2 linked regions of the Cricetulus griseus genome follow. The protein of the gene in region 1 interacts with the protein of each later gene in a pairwise test. Links are inferred from orthologs where the notes say so. Each region holds a gene or a part of one and is shown in the gene's direction. Other genes may lie near its edges.

What was found.
Region 2: the proteins of Tecr (region 1) and Hacd2 interact in binary tests that used the Homo sapiens proteins (3 or more experiments, as listed by UniProt). The link is inferred for Cricetulus griseus from reciprocal best matches to the Homo sapiens genes TECR and HACD2.

The regions. Positions count from the first base shown.
Region 1 is NC_048596.1:160,823,371-160,831,319, forward strand, and holds the end of Tecr (very-long-chain enoyl-CoA reductase), read left to right. Parts: intron 1-3,793; coding exon 3,794-3,844; intron 3,845-4,346; coding exon 4,347-4,398; intron 4,399-4,730; coding exon of another isoform or gene 4,731-4,733; coding exon 4,734-4,778; intron 4,779-4,854; coding exon 4,855-4,958; intron 4,959-5,034; coding exon 5,035-5,150; intron 5,151-5,234; coding exon 5,235-5,340; intron 5,341-5,415; coding exon 5,416-5,488; intron 5,489-5,575; coding exon 5,576-5,619; intron 5,620-5,714; coding exon 5,715-5,772; intron 5,773-5,853; coding exon 5,854-5,942; intron 5,943-6,115; coding exon 6,116-6,161; intron 6,162-6,238; coding exon 6,239-6,366; 3' UTR 6,367-6,471; downstream 6,472-7,949. Other genes in the region: Ndufb7 (NADH dehydrogenase [ubiquinone] 1 beta subcomplex subunit 7), read right to left, coding at 6,604-6,736, 6,927-7,095. UniProt on the Homo sapiens protein: Involved in both the production of very long-chain fatty acids for sphingolipid synthesis and the degradation of the sphingosine moiety in sphingolipids through the sphingosine 1-phosphate metabolic pathway.
Region 2 is NC_048597.1:54,614,292-54,622,988, reverse strand, and holds the start of Hacd2 (very-long-chain (3R)-3-hydroxyacyl-CoA dehydratase 2), read left to right. Parts: upstream 1-3,614; 5' UTR 3,615-3,675; coding exon 3,676-3,830; intron 3,831-6,178; coding exon 6,179-6,296; intron 6,297-8,697. UniProt on the Homo sapiens protein: Catalyzes the third of the very long-chain fatty acids (VLCFA) elongation four-step cycle (condensation, reduction, dehydration, and reduction).

The DNA.
Region 1 (7,949 bases):
TTAAGCAATAGTTATATTGAGTATACTGCCAGGGGGCAGTGGATCAGGCTGTAACTAGAGTACTACTTGTAGCCATAAATTCTTTTTTGAAGATAAGGTCTCACATAGTTTAGACTGACCTCAAACTTTGCATGTTGCTAGGGTTATCTCTGAATGCCTGATCCTGAGTCCATCTGCTGAGTGCTAGGGTCGCAAGTATTGCCACTGTGCCTGGTGGGACTGCTGTTTTAAAGTTGGTGGTGGATGAGATGTGGCCAGTAGCCCGAGGAGGGAGGCAGGAGCCCTGTAATGGTGATGCAGGACATGCTTCTCTGTCTTTGGGCTCCCTGCCTGGCTGGGACAACCTCAAGAGTGCTACCTCCCAGTCTCAGAACAAGGAACAGGCTGCACCAACCTTGATCTTGCCGCAGTGGGTGCCAAGGCCAGCCCCCCATCCTTCTTTAGGGTTGGCTGCTTCCTGCCTCTCAGTCTGCTTTGCTGTCCTTGACCTTGGGCTAGCAGGAGTTCTGTTGGCTGGGCCAGGCCTTGTTATCTCAGTCTCTGGGTGAGAATTCTTCACAGACTAGTGGAACTGTCATCGTAGAACCAGTTTGGGTGCCCTGTGCTAGGGTTCCTGCCCTTGTCTTTGACACCGTCCATTGTGCTCTCAGCAGGGGGTGTCCCCCTCCCCAAGCCTAGGAACTCAGATCATCCTTCTGGGCCACCCTCATCTGTAGCGATCACATCTATAGCTGTCTGCGTATGAGGGTTCCCTTCCTTAGCTCAGCTGTGCTGCTTTCTCCCCAGGAGGGGCCAGAGGCTGCTGGCTCCCTGCCCTTGGTGTTCAGGACCCCTGGTGCTCTCTGACCCTAGACCTGGGCACCCTTCAGGGTTGTATTTTAGGCTGACTGTGTGTGTGTGTGTGTGTGTGTGTGTGTGTGTGTGTGTGTGTGTGTGTGTGTGTGTGTGTGTTTGGGACAGGTACAGGCAGGGGTGGAGATGGTAGTGGTTGAGTGCAGTGAGGACCACGGTTTAAGAGGTACACGTAGATTTTCCCCAGTCTCCTTGGTCTGGACAGTGGAGACCCTGCCTGTTCCCTGGAGCTGTGTTGTCTTTTCTTTTTTTGTTGGACACTTTGCCTGTCTGTTGCCTGTGGGGACTGGGGTGTAACTCAGTGGTAGAGTACCCGCCTCACAATGTGAGAGCCCCAATACACAGTCCCAGAGCTTTTGGAGTGTGGTTCCTGTGACTGTAAGTAAAAGTGCACAGTTGAAGTTGGTGTGGTAGACAACTAATCCCTCAGCACTTGGGAAGCTGAGACAGGGTTTTGAGTTTAAGGCTATCCTGGCCTAAAGAGTCAGACCCTGCTGTGTCACCCCTGAGTACCACCCCTACCCCTGAAAGTATACAGCCAGTGACATTCAGCACATTTCATTGGGCAGCCCCACATCTGTGACTGACACTTTTGCATCACCCACAAAGAGCAGCTATCCTTTAGAATCTCCCCCTGCTGCCGCCTCAGCCTGTACCCTGTGGGGGCACCAGCAGGCTGCTGTCTGCCCTGGTCTGGTCCTGGCCACTCCTGTCCTGAAAGTCTGGCATCTTTCACCCAGCCAACCTCCTTGCTATGCTTAACATAACTTTTATCTTGCTTTTGATTTTGACATAATTCTAGAGGGTTAGGGAGTTGCAAAAATCACAGCAAGAATGGCCTCTGGCCCACTGGGAGAAGATGGCTATGGGGATCTGGGGCTTGGGCAGGGCGTGGGAGGCCTCTCGCTCGCTCGCTCACCTGGATCCGGCAGCTCCTCCCTCTCCTTGTGGCTTGGGGACTGCTGTTCAGTGTGGCCCCTCCATGCTGTTCTCTTGTAGCCAGTTGGTGCATCAGGGTTCCTGGCCTTGTTGCAGAGCCCCAGCTGGGGGAGAGGGTAGGGTTTCAGCCCTCCCCAGCAGCTGGCCCAGTAGGGAGAGGGGCTGGTTGTATTTTAAGCTGTTGAGTGGTTCAGCAGGAACTCCGTGGCCTTCTCTCCCAGTGGACATTGTGCCGCCTTCCTGTGATTCACATGGACACTGAGCATGAGCACAGTGCTTATGGGGAGCAGTATTAATATATCTGCAGCCCAGAGCCCTGCCACCAAGCCCCTTCTAGCCCATTCCTCATGTATTCATTCTCTCTCGTTTCTGGTCTGATACTGTCCTTATGTGGTTCAGTCATTTGCCCCTCAGGCCACAGGGTGAAGCTGAGTTTGCAGTGGATAGCAAGTGATTTCTGTACTCTCTCCTGCGCTGTGTCCATGATGTAGGCTCTGGCATAGATGGGCAAGCAGGCCTGGGTGCCACTGGCTGGCATAGAAGCCTTGCTCTGAATCCAGGCCTAGGCCCTGCAGGGCTGCTTCACTGTGTAGGGTCACCTCCATGGGGCCTCCCTACCTAATCACCAGGTAGTCACTTTTGTGGGGCCACAGACACACATACACACATGCACACATGCGCGCACGCGCGCACACACACACACACACACACACACACACACACACACACACACACACACACACACGCACATACTTCCCTTGTGCCAGCACCATGTTGGTTCATGCACATCCTCTCAGGGACCCCTAGCAGGCCAGGCCTGGGGTCAGACCCTAGGACTATCTTAGCCTCTGCTCTTTGGAGCATGCAGATGGCAGTGACCAGCTTCTCTGGCCTGTGATGTCCCCATCCTTGAGAATGAGAAGTCACAGATCCCCATAGGACCCCCAGGCCTCTCCCAGCTACTATGGACAGTGCAGACCATCATGTCAGCAGCCTTCTCTGACCTTCTGGGACAGGTGGCTCAGATCTCCTGGGGCTGTTTTCTTACTCTGTTCCTTTGCACCACTGAGTGGCTCTAGCCTGGGTATTTCTCCTTTGGAGACTGTGGACCCTAGGGGTATCGGCAGGCCTGGGTTGTGTGTTGAAGGCTTTGCAGCGAGACTCATCCATGGGTGAGGTGAGCACATTGATGTTGGCCTGATGTGGTAGACTGCCATGCAGGTGGTTTTGAAGCAGGTGTGGGTGGAACTGTTGAGAATGAGGAGAGGGGTGGAGAACCTTGCTCACTCTTTCCTCTCCATACTTAGAAAAGGAACTGTGCACCGATAACTCTGGAATTTGTCACCTCTCTGGGAACACAAATGCACAAGGGAAATAATCCAGTGTCCCTTACAGCTTAGAAGTGGCAATGCATGATCTGTCTCTCAGATTCTCTAGACAGCTGGCATTTCCCCAGGTCCAGTAACCTGTCAGCCAGAGCTGGGCACTGGGCCTGGGCTAGCCACCCCTGCCACTGGCTGTGTGCTTTTTCCCATCTCTGGGAGATTTTCTTGTCCCTGGCGCTTTTGAGGCCCAGTGTCCACTCAGCTGCTTCTATGAGGGTAGCCCCCAGGGGAGGACTGTGGTGTGGCTCCTTCGGGGGAACTTGGGATGGTTTTATATTTAGCCGGGCCGGGCCGGGCCCTGGTGCCACTCGGGTTACATCTGGCATTGAAGCTGGCTGGGTCTGGTCAGACACAGGCTCCTTTCCAGCACCGAGGCAGAGTTTCATCATGCTGCCCAGCCCAGCTCAGAGCAGCTTTGTGAGGGGAGGTCGGAGGTGGGGGCTGGTGGCTGGCAGTGGGCGCCACAGCCTGGTAGGCAGAGCAGTAGGGCCGACAGTGGCATGGATATCAGCTTGAGCATGGTGGCCAAGGAGGCCCACCAAGGCCTCGATGGTCTTCCCATGCCCGTGCCCCACAAGATAGCCAAGAAGCATAAAAAGGCGGTTCTCTTCTTTGAGGTGGAAATTCTGGATGCGAAGACGAGGGAGAAGCTGTGCTTCCTGGACAAGGTAGGACTGTGACCCTGGTGGTGAAGTTGTAGGGCTGTGCAGACATTGGTGGCCCCCTTGTCCTTCAGAGGGCACACAAGGGGTATTGCCTTCATCTAGAGCAGCAGTTCTCAAACTGTGGTCTCCACCCCTGTGGGGCTGCATATCAGATGCTTCTATTGTGATTCATAACAGTAGCAAAATTACAGATGTGAAATAGCAAGGAAATAATTTTTTGCTCGGGGTCACCACAACACAAGGAACTTTATTAAAGGATCACAGCATTAGGAAGGTTGAGAACCACTGAGCTAGAACGTGTAATCGTGACCCCTGCATAGGGCTGGGAGCTGGCTGCCTGGTAGGGGAAGGGATAAGGCAGCCTGGAAGGACCCTGTGTCTGTGAAGGAGGTGGAAGACAGATACACCCTGCTGAAGCCAGCTGGCGTGATCCTGACCGCCTGTGCCTGGCACCCCTGTCCCAGATCTGGGGCTCCTTTGGGACTGATAGTCTGTTTTCTCTCAGGTGGAGCCTCAGGCCACCATTGCTGAAATCAAGAATCTCTTCACCAAGACGCGTGAGTGCAGGCCCTACACTTCTATCCCCACTCCTGTCACCCCTCTGGATGAGAGACCTGGGCTTCCTTAGGGACTTGTAGAGAGGGCCTGTCAGCACACTGGAGCAGGGAATGGGGCCCCTCTGACTGGGCAGGCTGCCCCCGTGTGGCCACCTGCAGGAATGCTCTTGCGTTATTCAAAGGACAAAATCTGTAGCTGTTTGGGTGTGTTCTTGCATAGGGTGGGAAGAGCCGGGGGTCCCAGAATTCTGGGAACCTTGAGAGGCAGGCTGGGTTACGATGGGCAGGCTGAACCCAGCCAGACTGGGTGCTGCAACCTCACCTTCTCCTAGCAGACCCGCAGTGGTACCCTGCCCGCCAGTCCCTCCGCTTGGACCCCAGTGAGTACAGCCTTTCCCTTGGGCTCTTGGGGTCAGAAACCCAGGGCAGCATCTGAATACTGACTGATTTCTGTAGAGGGAAAGTCCCTGAAAGATGAAGATGTGTTGCAGAAGCTTCCTGTGGGCACCACAGCCACACTCTTCTTCCGGGACCTGGGGGCACAGATCAGCTGGGTGACGGTAAGCCCTGACCCCTTCCCTGGTCTCTGCCTTCAGCCACCCTGGGGTTACTCACCTTGTCTCTGGGCACTCCCAGGTCTTCCTGACTGAGTATGCTGGGCCCCTTTTCATCTACTTGCTCTTCTACTTCCGGGTACCCTTCATTTATGGCCACAAATACGACTTCACGTCCAGTCGGCACACAGTGGTGCAGTGAGTGGGGCCCACAGGAGAGTGGGAGGGGGCGGGGCGGGTGGAGGGCTGGAGCAACCCCAGCTGAATCAGCTGCCCCACCAGCCTCGCTTGCATCTGCCACTCATCCCACTACGTCAAGCGTCTGCTGGAGACCCTCTTCGTGCACCGCTTCTCTCACGGAACCATGCCCTTGCGAAACATCTTCAAAGTGAGCATCCTTATTCTTTCTGCTCTGCCCAGCAGCACCCGCCCTCCCTAGGCTCACTCATCTGCTCTCTTTCAGAACTGCACCTACTACTGGGGCTTTGCTGCATGGATGGCCTATTACATCAACCACCCTCTCTACACACCCCCTAGTAAGTGGGCCCAGACAGTGCCCTCATCCCGTGACCCCCATCACCAACCTTCTTCTTATGGGGCCCTTCTTTTTGCCTTTTCTGCAGCCTACGGAGCCCAGCAGGTTAAGTTGGCGCTGACCATCTTTGTGGTAAAGAGGCTGGGGTGGCAACCAAGTGTGGTGAGGTGAGGTGGCTGGGTGAGGTGAGGTTGGGGCCTCTGGGCTGATCCTGTTCTCCTTGATAGATCTGCCAGCTTGGCAACTTCTCCATCCACATGGCTCTTCGGGACCTTCGGCCAGCTGGTGAGTGGCCAGATGGGGCTGGGGCTGGGGCTGGGGCTGGGGCTGGGGAGGGATCTGACTTACTCTTGTCCTGCATGCCAGGGTCCAAAACCAGGAAGATCCCATATCCCACCAAGAACCCCTTCACCTGGCTATTTCTGTTGGTGTCCTGTCCCAACTACACTTACGAGGTGAGACTGCCTTTTTCCTCTTGGATTTGAGGTCCTATATGAGGTGAAGTGTAGGGGTGGGTTGTGGGGAGTAATAAAGCTTGAATATGGGGAGACTGCTGCCTTCCTTCCCCAGGGATACATGTGATGCTGGGCTTCCCTCTGTGCCCTCACCCTGCTTGTGCTGTTCACAGGTGGGGTCCTGGATTGGCTTTGCCATCATGACGCAGTGTGTTCCAGGTGAGTCCCTTGTTCCCGTGCAGTGCCCTTCCCTTCTGACTGGGCATCCCTATTCTGATATCCCGTTCTGCCCACAGTGGCCCTCTTCTCCTTGGTGGGCTTCACCCAGATGACCATCTGGGCCAAGGGCAAGCACCGCAGCTACCTGAAGGAGTTCCGTGACTACCCACCCCTGCGCATGCCCATCATCCCTTTCCTGCTCTGAGCAGTTCTCATGGGCTCAGCCAGGAGCACTCTCTACCCAATGCCCCTCTGTCCTGGGGTGATCGTGGCTCTCTAGCAGCAACAATAAATCTGCTTACCCAGCTGGTCTTGGGCTTTGTGTTCTTTAGGGGCCCAAGGGCCACCCGTTCCTCCCCACCCTTGAGGCAGTGCAGATGAAGGTTGGACAGTTGACTCAGAGTGTTTATTCCACTGATAGGTCCACAGGTGGTGGGTGACCCTAGAGGGCCACCTCAGGGCCCACCTCTCCTTCTCCCTGGCCCCGGGATACCCGTTCCGCCTTCTCTTCCCTCCGTTTCTTCCTCTGGAGCAGCCTCCGTTCACGTTCAAACTCCTTCATTCGCTTCACGTAGCTGTTGGCAGAGCAGATACAAGGTCTCAATGCCACAGGCCCTGACCTGGTCCCATTCCCAGCCACCAGGAAACCCTAGCTAGGGTGAGGCCTCCCACTGAAATCCTGGCTTGGCCCTCTGATGGCTCCAGCCTCTTCCCCATGCCCATGTGTGGGTGCTTGTGGTGTGGGTAGGGGCAGGGCAGGCTCACTCCATGTGCTCGCAGTAGTCCCAGTCATGCCGCTCATGCTTGCAAGCCAGGAAGTTGGGGAAGCTGTCGCGCTTGCACTTGAGCAGCCTGATGAGGTAGTGGGCGCAGTAGTCACGTTGCTGCAGTGTCAGCTGGGCATTGTTCATCTCCTGTTGTGTAGCCACCATTACTGTGGGGAGTGGTAAGGCTCAGCATCAGAGCCAATCCCCAACTCCACCAACTCCCAGGATGCACATGGCACAAATGAAGCCACATACAGGGTATCCCTCATTGGGTTAGCAGAACCAATTCGGATTATGGCCATGTCCTGACAGAAGGAAGGGTGACACTGATCCCTTTGGGTATGTAAACAGTACAGAGAGTTCTCACCTCCCTTCCTCTAGCGATGCTATCTTCCAAAAAGTTAAGGGAAGGTCAGTGTTCACTTTCCAGCCGGCTTCCCCATTACAGAAATATGCCAGGTCCAGCATGGATGCTGCTAGGCTGTCAGCTAAGCCAACGGAGCTGTGGTAACCACAAGTAACTCAGGAATGCATCATTAGGTGGTACCAGTGTAACCAACCAGCATAGTGTGTATTTACATAGATAAGACAGGTTCATCACTAACTCACAGGACTTCGGAACTGTCATTGTCTGAGGTTGACATAAATGTTCCCATGTATGTGGCGCATGTTAAATGCTCATGTGTGAGCTTTGGGTAGATAATCTAGATCTGAAAGGGTATGTTCCATCACTGGGTGAGGAACAGTTGTCATACTACAGCCTGTACCCACTGTGCCCCATACTCCCACATCTTATCAACCCAACAGGACCCTATTTGCTGGGTCTTTAGGCCTGCCTCCTCTCCACCCGTGCCTTGGTCCTAGCCTCCATTTATTGCATTAAAACCTACTCCCATAGAAGGCCTGGTGGCTCAAGGCCTGTCACCTTCAGCTACTCAGGAGGCTGAGGAGAGAACCACAAGTTTAAGACCTGCTTGGGCTTCAGAATGTGGGCAACGGAAGTTGGCAAGCTGCCTGGAGA
Region 2 (8,697 bases), on another chromosome or scaffold:
CTAAAAGCAGGGTAAAACCCCAGCATGTCTACCTTAATTTTTAAACAAATCTGATGGGGGAGGTCCTTCTGTGTATGTTTATCTTATTGGTTGTTGAATAAAGCACTGCTTGGCAAATGAGGCAGAAAGATAGGTGGGAACTAGGAGTCAAGGAGGATTCTGGGAAATGTAGTAAAGAGAATGTAGTGATGTAGTGATCCAGGCAGGAAGTGGCATAGCAGGCTGACTCAGAATATAAGCAGGGACAAGAAGGAAATCGCTCTCTTCCTCTTCTTCCTCCTTTCTTCTCTGGAGCTGCCATGTGAGCCTGATGAGAGAGGACACATGCCACTGGCATCCTCGATCAGATAAGTCTTTATAAATATATAGATTATGGCTATGGTTAATACTTAAGACAGAGCACGCATGTGAGAAATCCTAGTCATTAGCCAGCAGCTAATAGCATTTGTACCTAATATAAGTCTCTGTGTGTTATTTCAGGCACCCATGTGGCAGTGGGGCTCGGGCAGTTGTCATAAAGACTTTTCGTTACATAAATCTGTCTCCTTTATTTTGGATCAGTTACCTGATTCATTTTGCTCATGAGTAGATTAATCAATCAAAAAGTGTCTACCTAAAACATGCTGTGGTGGTTTTAATAAGAATGCCTCCCCTATTCATATATTTGGATGTTTACTCACCAGAGAGTGATGTTATTTAAAAGGATTAGAAGGTTTAAGAGGTGTGGCCTTGTTGGAGGAATTGTGTCACTGGGGGTGAACTTTGAAGTTTCAAAAACCCATGCCAAGCCCAGAGTCAGTCTCTCTCTCTCTCTCTCTCTCTCTCTCTCTCTCTCTCTCTCTCTCTCTCTGCCCATGGACCAGGGTGTAGCTCTCAGCTACTGCTCCAGTGCCATGCAAGCAAGCCCCCTATTAAATACTTTCTTCCATTGCTTTGGTCATGGTGTTTCTTCACTGCAATAGGATAGTGGCTAAGATACATGGTAATTACCTATCCCAACACCCTTTAAAACTAAAGGCACAACAATAATGGTAACTAAGCTATTTTACTGTCAGCTGATTACAATATCATGTTCTGGAAACCACTGTAGTTCCTGAAGGTCTCCAGTCATTGTCCTAATACTGTAGTCACTGTGGATCCAAGAACAGAAGAGCCTTGCAGACAAACCATTCTACCATGAGAGTACCCTGTGAACAATCTTCTCATAGCTTATCTTCTCAATAGATATGACTCTTCCTCCTACTTTACTGAACCTGAACTGAGGCAATGATCAACGTAATCCCACATTGGCCAAGATTACTTATCTATGAATACTTCTTCCCTGTGTTCTAGTTCTTCTTCTGTTTATATCTAAGGCTTGTGTCAGTGCTCCAAAAATGAACTTGCACCCATTGATCTGTATTTCCCAATGTAGCCACACTGGTTAATCTCTTTTCTCTGTTCTTCATAATTACTCATCATTATCGTGTGTGTATTGGGATGGGTGGCTCTGAACAAAATGTTGGCACTTAGATCCAGGGCTTATTACCTAAGTCTCCAGTAACAAGACCAAAGGGACAAGTGAATAATAAACAAACTATTCAGATTAAGGTCACACTGAACTTCTTACACTTTATCTTAACTGTCATTAAAAACCATTTAAATGCCATAAGGGAACAGGATGAGAGAAGTAGTAGATGCAAACAAATTTGTACTTAGAAAAGATCATCTATACTTTGCAGAAGTGATGGGGTTGTATAAAAATGACGACAAGAAGATACACTAAGTTTTAAGTTGATTTCCAATTTTATGTGTTTGTGCCTCCTACTTCCCCATTAAGTATATTATATTGGAAAGAGAATCAATTAAATGAATGAGAGAAGCTTTTAGGTGAATGATTATTCTGCAAATAGTTCACTTCTTTATGAGAAAGGGGAAAGGTTTTGTTGCACTTTTGATCTCCCTTTAAAAAAAAAGATTTATTTGTTTATTTATTTTAGGAATGTTTTGCCATCATGTATATATATATTCTAAGTGTGTTCCTGGTGCTTTTGTAGGTCAGATGAGGCTAATGGATTCCCTGAAACTAGAGTTCGGGATGGTTCTGAATCAACATGTGTATGCTGAAAACCAAACCTGTTCCTTTCTCCCTGCCTTGTTCTTTAAGGAAACCAGGAAAAACAAGGCCACAGGAGGTCTTACAATCTTGGAGAACAGTAAGGGATGAGAATTTAACAACTGCTCAGTTTCTCCCTCTCAGTTTTTGGGGGTCTCATGGTTTTAAATTCTATAATCATCCTGATACTCTCAAATCTCCGTCTCTCTCTCTGTCTCTCTCTCTGTCTGTCTCTGTCTCTGTGTCTGTCTCTGTCTCTCTCTCTCTCTCTCTCTCTCTCTTTCTCTCTCTCTCTCTCTCTAACCTTCCTGTCTTCCTGAACCTCGGAGTCTAAAATTAATTGTCTTTATTCTTCCAAGCTGTCCCAATGTCTCTTCACCTTCCATTCAAATCTAATGCACTGTCTAAACATTTTATGAACTGTAATAAAATATTCTGAAAATTCAGTGTTCATCACTTTACTATCATCATGACCTGGGTTATTGTAATAGTTTTCTAATTGATACCACTTTTCACCAACTAATGCATATTTATTCGTGTCTAGCTCCTTCTGTGTAATCTCTGGGCGACTGAAGACTTTTTGTCTTTTTCCATTAGTGTTATAAACTCTAATACAACCTTGTAGATGCTCCATAAATATTTCTTGGAATCAATACATATTTTATTGCATTACGTAAATAGTTACTATTTATGGGGATGCTTGGTTGCATGAACACGGATGCCAAGGTAATTTGACGAAGAAACTCCTAGAAAAAGGAGTGGTGTCAGCAGATAAAAGCAGTTTCTAGAAGTTGTTTCTGTTTTCACTCAGTAGGAGAGTTTCCCACCTAGACCCTGTGGGTATTAACAACTCTTTACACCTCACATGGTCCTCAACTAACCACCGAAGCACCTTAAATCCTGCGTCACAAAAATCAGGCCTATGAATGGAGATGAACTGCCTAACTGTTAGCGACTGCTGGGAGTCTCCACTGTACAGTGCAGGTTAACTAAAAATCAAAAGACAAGGAAGAACCTGTTGAAGACTGGTTCCCCAACTTGGCTACAGTTAGAAGAAAAAGATACGTGTTGCAAAAATGCTGGCTCCTTCTGATCTCTTGACAGGATGGAAGCTTAACTGACGTTAATCGCCCTAATCTAAAATGATAACTTCTTGGGCAATTGTGTGAAGACATGGCACCTGGGAGAGGATTAGAAGAAATAGGGACTGGGACACATCCTTTGGATCCAGTAGGATGGTAAAGAGACAAATTACGCGTAAGACCAGGCCTGGAACAACGTGAGGCCCAGAGTCACATTAACCTAGTTAAACATGGAGTTGGACACCGACACCGACAGCGTGCCGGAAGTGGGAAAGAAATTACCCCCATCCAACACGGGGACAGTTACCGAGACGAGCCCACAGGCGGGAGCTCCTAGAGCGTCTTTGCCCTCATCCAAGATGGCGGCCCCGTGGGCGCTGTCCCGGCTCCGCCCCGTGCCGCGGCCCCGCCTCTTCTTCGCCCCTCCCTCCGCCCCCTCGCAGTCTCCAGCCGGGTCTGAGGTGCAGGCGCGAGGAGAGCGGGCTGCAGGCGCTTGACATGGCGGCAGTGGCGGCGACTGCGGCGACCAAGGGGAATGGGGGCGGCAGCGGCCGAGCCGGGGCCGGCGAAGGCGGCGGCACGCGGAAGAGGAAGGGCCCCGGGCCTGTGGCCACGGCGTACCTGGTCATCTACAATGTGGTGATGACGGCCGGGTGAGGCTGCGCGCGGGGAGGCGGGGAGCGAGCTCTGCGGCCGGGCGGCCAAGTGTGGGAACCCGCACCCGGGGCCGCCGCGGTGCGGAGCGCGGGGAAGGCTGGCCCGGGGCCGCCTGGGCAGGGCCTCGCCGGGGCGGGCGAGCGGGCTGGCCACAGGTGCGGGTCGGGTCGGGGCGCAGTGGAGGGGAGGCCAGCCCGGGCGGCCGGTCACGAGCCGCGGCGTGGAAGCAGCGCTGGCTGCGGAGACCATTCATTTCAGCGGTGGTTTTCAAAACCCGGGCAGAGCTTTCATCTCCGAGGGAGTGGGAAGGCGTTCAAAGTTTTTGGCCAGCCACCCGAGTCGGAGCTGTCCGATGGCCGGATATAGACTTCCTAGACAGGACTGGGGCAAGTTGAGGTTGGGAGAGTATCGACCCTCAAAATGGTTTTGCCCTATTGCAGTCTGTCCCTTAATAGCAGGGTTTTAGTTCTAGTTCTCACACAACTTGCCGTGTGACTTTGAATGAATCTGCTGCTTTCTCTGGGCCTCTGGATTTTTTTTTTTTTTTTTCCGGTTAGGTGGAATTGGGCTAGGTGAATCCAGTTTCGAAATCCGGTAGTTTTGGTGAGGTGGATCACAATATAAATTGTTAGGAAATTTCTAAGCTGTGAAACACATTTTCTTACTTTTCCTTTCTTTGCTTTTTTTTTTTTTTAGATCTAGAGAGCTCTTCATGTAGTCTTGGTTGGCCCAGAACTTGTGATCCTCCTGTCTCTGTCTTCTGACGTTGGAATTAGTGGCCCGTGACACCACTCTAGACTTCCTAGCATTCATTCCTTTGTTTATTTACTGGTCCTGGAATTGAACCTAAGGCCTCACACTTGCACCCATTCTTCTCTGCTATATCCCTACCACTGTAGCTATTTTTTAGGTAAAGCTTTCAAATATACAGAAAAGAATTAGTAATATAAATGGGAGCTATTTTTTAGGTAAAGCTTTCAAATATACAGAAAAGAATTAGTAATATAAATGGGAGGTGTTGAAACATACGCTCAGGTTGTGCATGGTGGATCTCTGAGTTCAAGGCCATCCTGAGTGAGTTCCAGGACAGCTTCATTATGGAATTTAATAGGGGATCCTAGGGCCTAATATTTGTTTTTGAGATGGAAAATGGAGCAGAAAAGTAATGTTCACAACTGTATGTTCCTGTGCTTTCTTGTTTCATGTTTTTCTAATCAATAAGCCTATTGATCTCTTTTCTCATTTGGTTTTGGGAAATTTAAAACTGTTGTTTTTCAAAGGCAACTTTTTATTCATATTCCATAGGTGATTTAGGTAAGAAAGATTATATATGGACATATCCCACTGAGACACTTGTGAAAATAGTTTTTCCAGTCTTACTATTATTATTAAAGCCCCTTTAATAGCACAGTTGAAACCCGAACACTTTGTTCCCCCTTAGACATTCTGGGATCTGATTTAACTGCACAAAGACTATGTTAGGTTATTCCATTTGTATTAGTCTTGTTCTTAGCAGATATATTTACCGAAGAACCAAGTTCCAGATGAGTGAGGTGCCACTGTGTAATTTTATTTTAACAGGATGCTGTAGGTGGTGTAACACTTATTCGTGCTACAACTTGGCCTTTGGGAGCTATAGTTGGCGTGTCCATCACTTTTATACCACACTTGAAATAATCCCATTACAAAGAAGGAAGGTTTGTTTTGGTGCACAGTTTTGGAGGTCCAGTCCTACAGCTGAAGGACCTCCTTGTGTTGGGCCAAGTGACAAAGCAGGAACAGAACTGTTCACCTTGTAATCATGCCACAAAAGAGGAAGAAAGAGGATCAGGATTTCACAATCTTCTTTCAGGGCATGTCCCCAGTAACTTACTTCTCAGTAGGCCTCACCTCTCAAAGGTTCCACCACCTCCAAGTAGTGTCACTTTGGGGAGCATGCCCTTCACATGGGTGTGGGGTGGGTAGTAGCATTAAAGCAGTGACTCTCTACCTTCCTAACACTTTGACCCTTTAATACAGTTCCTCATGTTGTTGTGAGCCCTAACCATAAAACTATTTTTGTTGCTACTTCAAACTGTAATATTGCTACTGTTATGAGTTGTAATGTTTTCTGATGGTCTTAAGCGACCCCTGTGAATGGATTGTTTGACACTCAAAGGGGTCTCAACCTTAAAGCCAAACCATTGCAATTGATAAATCCAGTATTCTAGGATTTTTTTTTAAATAAGTTATGCTTTTACTATATCTTTTTTTTTTTTTTTTTTTTTTTTTTTTTTTTTTTTTTTTACTATATCCAACTTAGGTTTTGTTCTCTCTCCTAATTGCACTTTCTCTTTTTTACTAGGTGGCTGGTGATAGCAGTTGGGCTTGTGAGAGCATACCTGGCTAAGGGCAGCTACCACAGTCTTTATTATTCAATAGAGAAGCCTTTGAAATTTTTCCAAACAGGAGCCTTACTGGAGGTACGTTTTGAGATTTTTGTCACTAATCTCAAATGTTATAAAGTAAAAAAACATGCTGTTATTATGATAAAATATATTGAAATTGCCTTATCCTTGTTGAGTTTGCTTTAAATTTGGAAATTTTGTTTTATGAAATCAATGCCTCAACTGTCTTTGAAATTCCAAAAAAATTTAAAATTCCACTTTCTATCCAGCTGTTATAGGAAACAAATGACTCAAGCTTGTATTAGGATTTTGAAAAATTCTAGGAATGCCCTAGTGAAGTGTTGACAAACTCATGCTTTCAGGGTCCATATAGCAGGGATTGCTGTAACAGGAATGGTGAGTGTCATTGGTGATGATAGTATGTTAGTAATAGATTGGAAACACAGCAGTACCTGCCCAGAGACATCCAAATCTAAAATTATTAACAAAGGCTTTGAAGGACAGTAGAGATTCTCAGTGAGACTGTTGGTTCTGGGCTTATCTTAGTCCTCTTTGTTGAATCAGTGTAGTTCAGGTTTTGAGTATAATTGGATTTTTGAGTTATGTCTGACAGAAAAAAATCCAGCTCAAAGAATTTTAAGAATAAAGAAATCTTCTGGTCTGAAGCTGATAAAGATATAAAGTTATGGGCTGGAAGGATGGTTCAGAAATTAAGAGCCCTGGCTGCTCTCTCGGAAGACCTGGGTTCAATCCCCAACACCCACATGGTGGATCACAATTGTCTGTAACTCCAGTTCCAGGGAATCTGACACCCTCTTGACCCCCGAGGGCACCAAGAATACATATGCAAAAACACTCATAAAAGTAAGTTAGTAAAATAATCTTCTAAAAAGATAAAAGGTTAACTGTCAAGATGAAAGGAACCAGCTCAGGACTGAGAACCAGTGATTTTGACATTAGAACTGTTTCTCTTAGGCTCTACTGTTGTAGACATCCTTTATGTGGTGGGGAGGGGGTTGGTTTTTCTGAGCGTCTGTATCAGGTATAGTTCTAGGAAGGATTCTGGTTGGCCCTGTTTGTTCCAGCTTGATCAGCAGGCTTAGAGCACGTGCCTGTTCTTCTGGCCAATGGACTATAGATTTTGGTAGTGGAAAAAGAGGCTGAGATTATTTAGGGTCATACAAAATCAAAAGCTGCATAGTTGTAGTGAAAAAGCTTTGAGTAGTATAGAAGACAAGATGGGCAATTTATTTCCCTTATTCTCGAGGGCAAAAGCAGCATGACGATTGTGTCTCAGTGGCAATTTAAAATCCAAACTAGGGAATAATGTTTAAGATCTCCAGTTCTCACCCTGACTTTTAAAAGCAAAAAGTTGTAGCTTTTGTTTCTGCTTTTTTCTCTTAGAAAGTAAGCTCTCTCCACTCTTGCGCCTGTCAGGGGTGCTGTGATTTGAGCATCCCCTGAGTACCTATGCTAGCCGTGCTGCATTGACCAGCACAGCCTGCAGATTGGTCTTTTATCCCTTGGCCACCTTTTTGACTTGGAAAACAATTAGGCTAGAACTGATTTCTAGTTTCTTCCTGTTCAAATACTATGAATCCCAGAAAAATAGCAGATTCTTGTTGCAGGCTTTCTTGGACTGCCAGCCCTCCAGATCATGACATGGAGACTTATTACTAATTATTAATGATTGGCCTTAGCTTAGGCTTGTTTCTAGCTAGCTTTTTGGTTTTCCTTTTAACTTAAATTTACCCATTTCTGTTAATCTACATGCTGCCCCAAGTCTCATTTACCTTATCTAGGTACTGCCCATCCTGCCTTCCTGCTTCCTTTTTGACTGGCTGATTGGCTCCCCTTTTCTCAATTCCTGTTAGCCCCACCTGTCCCTCCTCTGCTTAGTTATTGGCTGGTCAGGTTTTTATTTGACCAATCAGGTGCCTTAAGCATGCAAGGTGAAATAGCAAAACACTTTTCCATAGTTAAACAAATACAGCATAGACAAATGCAGCACACCTTTACATATTTATTTTGCAACACAATGTAATACATCTTTACATCATTAAACGAATATTCTATTCCACAACAGATTCTAGTGTGAATCATTTTTAAGTTTAGTTCCAGGGATTCCTCGAACCGGGAAGAAATATAAGTAGCATTCTTTTTAATCACCTTGTCACACACAGTTCCCTCAGCTACAGAGAAGCACATCTGAGATCAGGGCCATCAGAAACTGCCTCAGTGCCTGATGTAGGAGGGGTTACTCAGGGTGAAAACATGACCTCGATTTTAAGGGGATTTCCTTGAGGATTTTGTAATATATAAGTATAATTTTAAAAAATTAAGTATGTCTTAGAGAAGGTAAGTCTCCAGAGCCAAGTCTTAGACTTTGAAGGATGATTGGCCTGATCATCTCTGTTGAATTTTTAATAGGGATTTAAGAAATTAAATTTTTTTTATCTTTGTCAATCTCCACTAA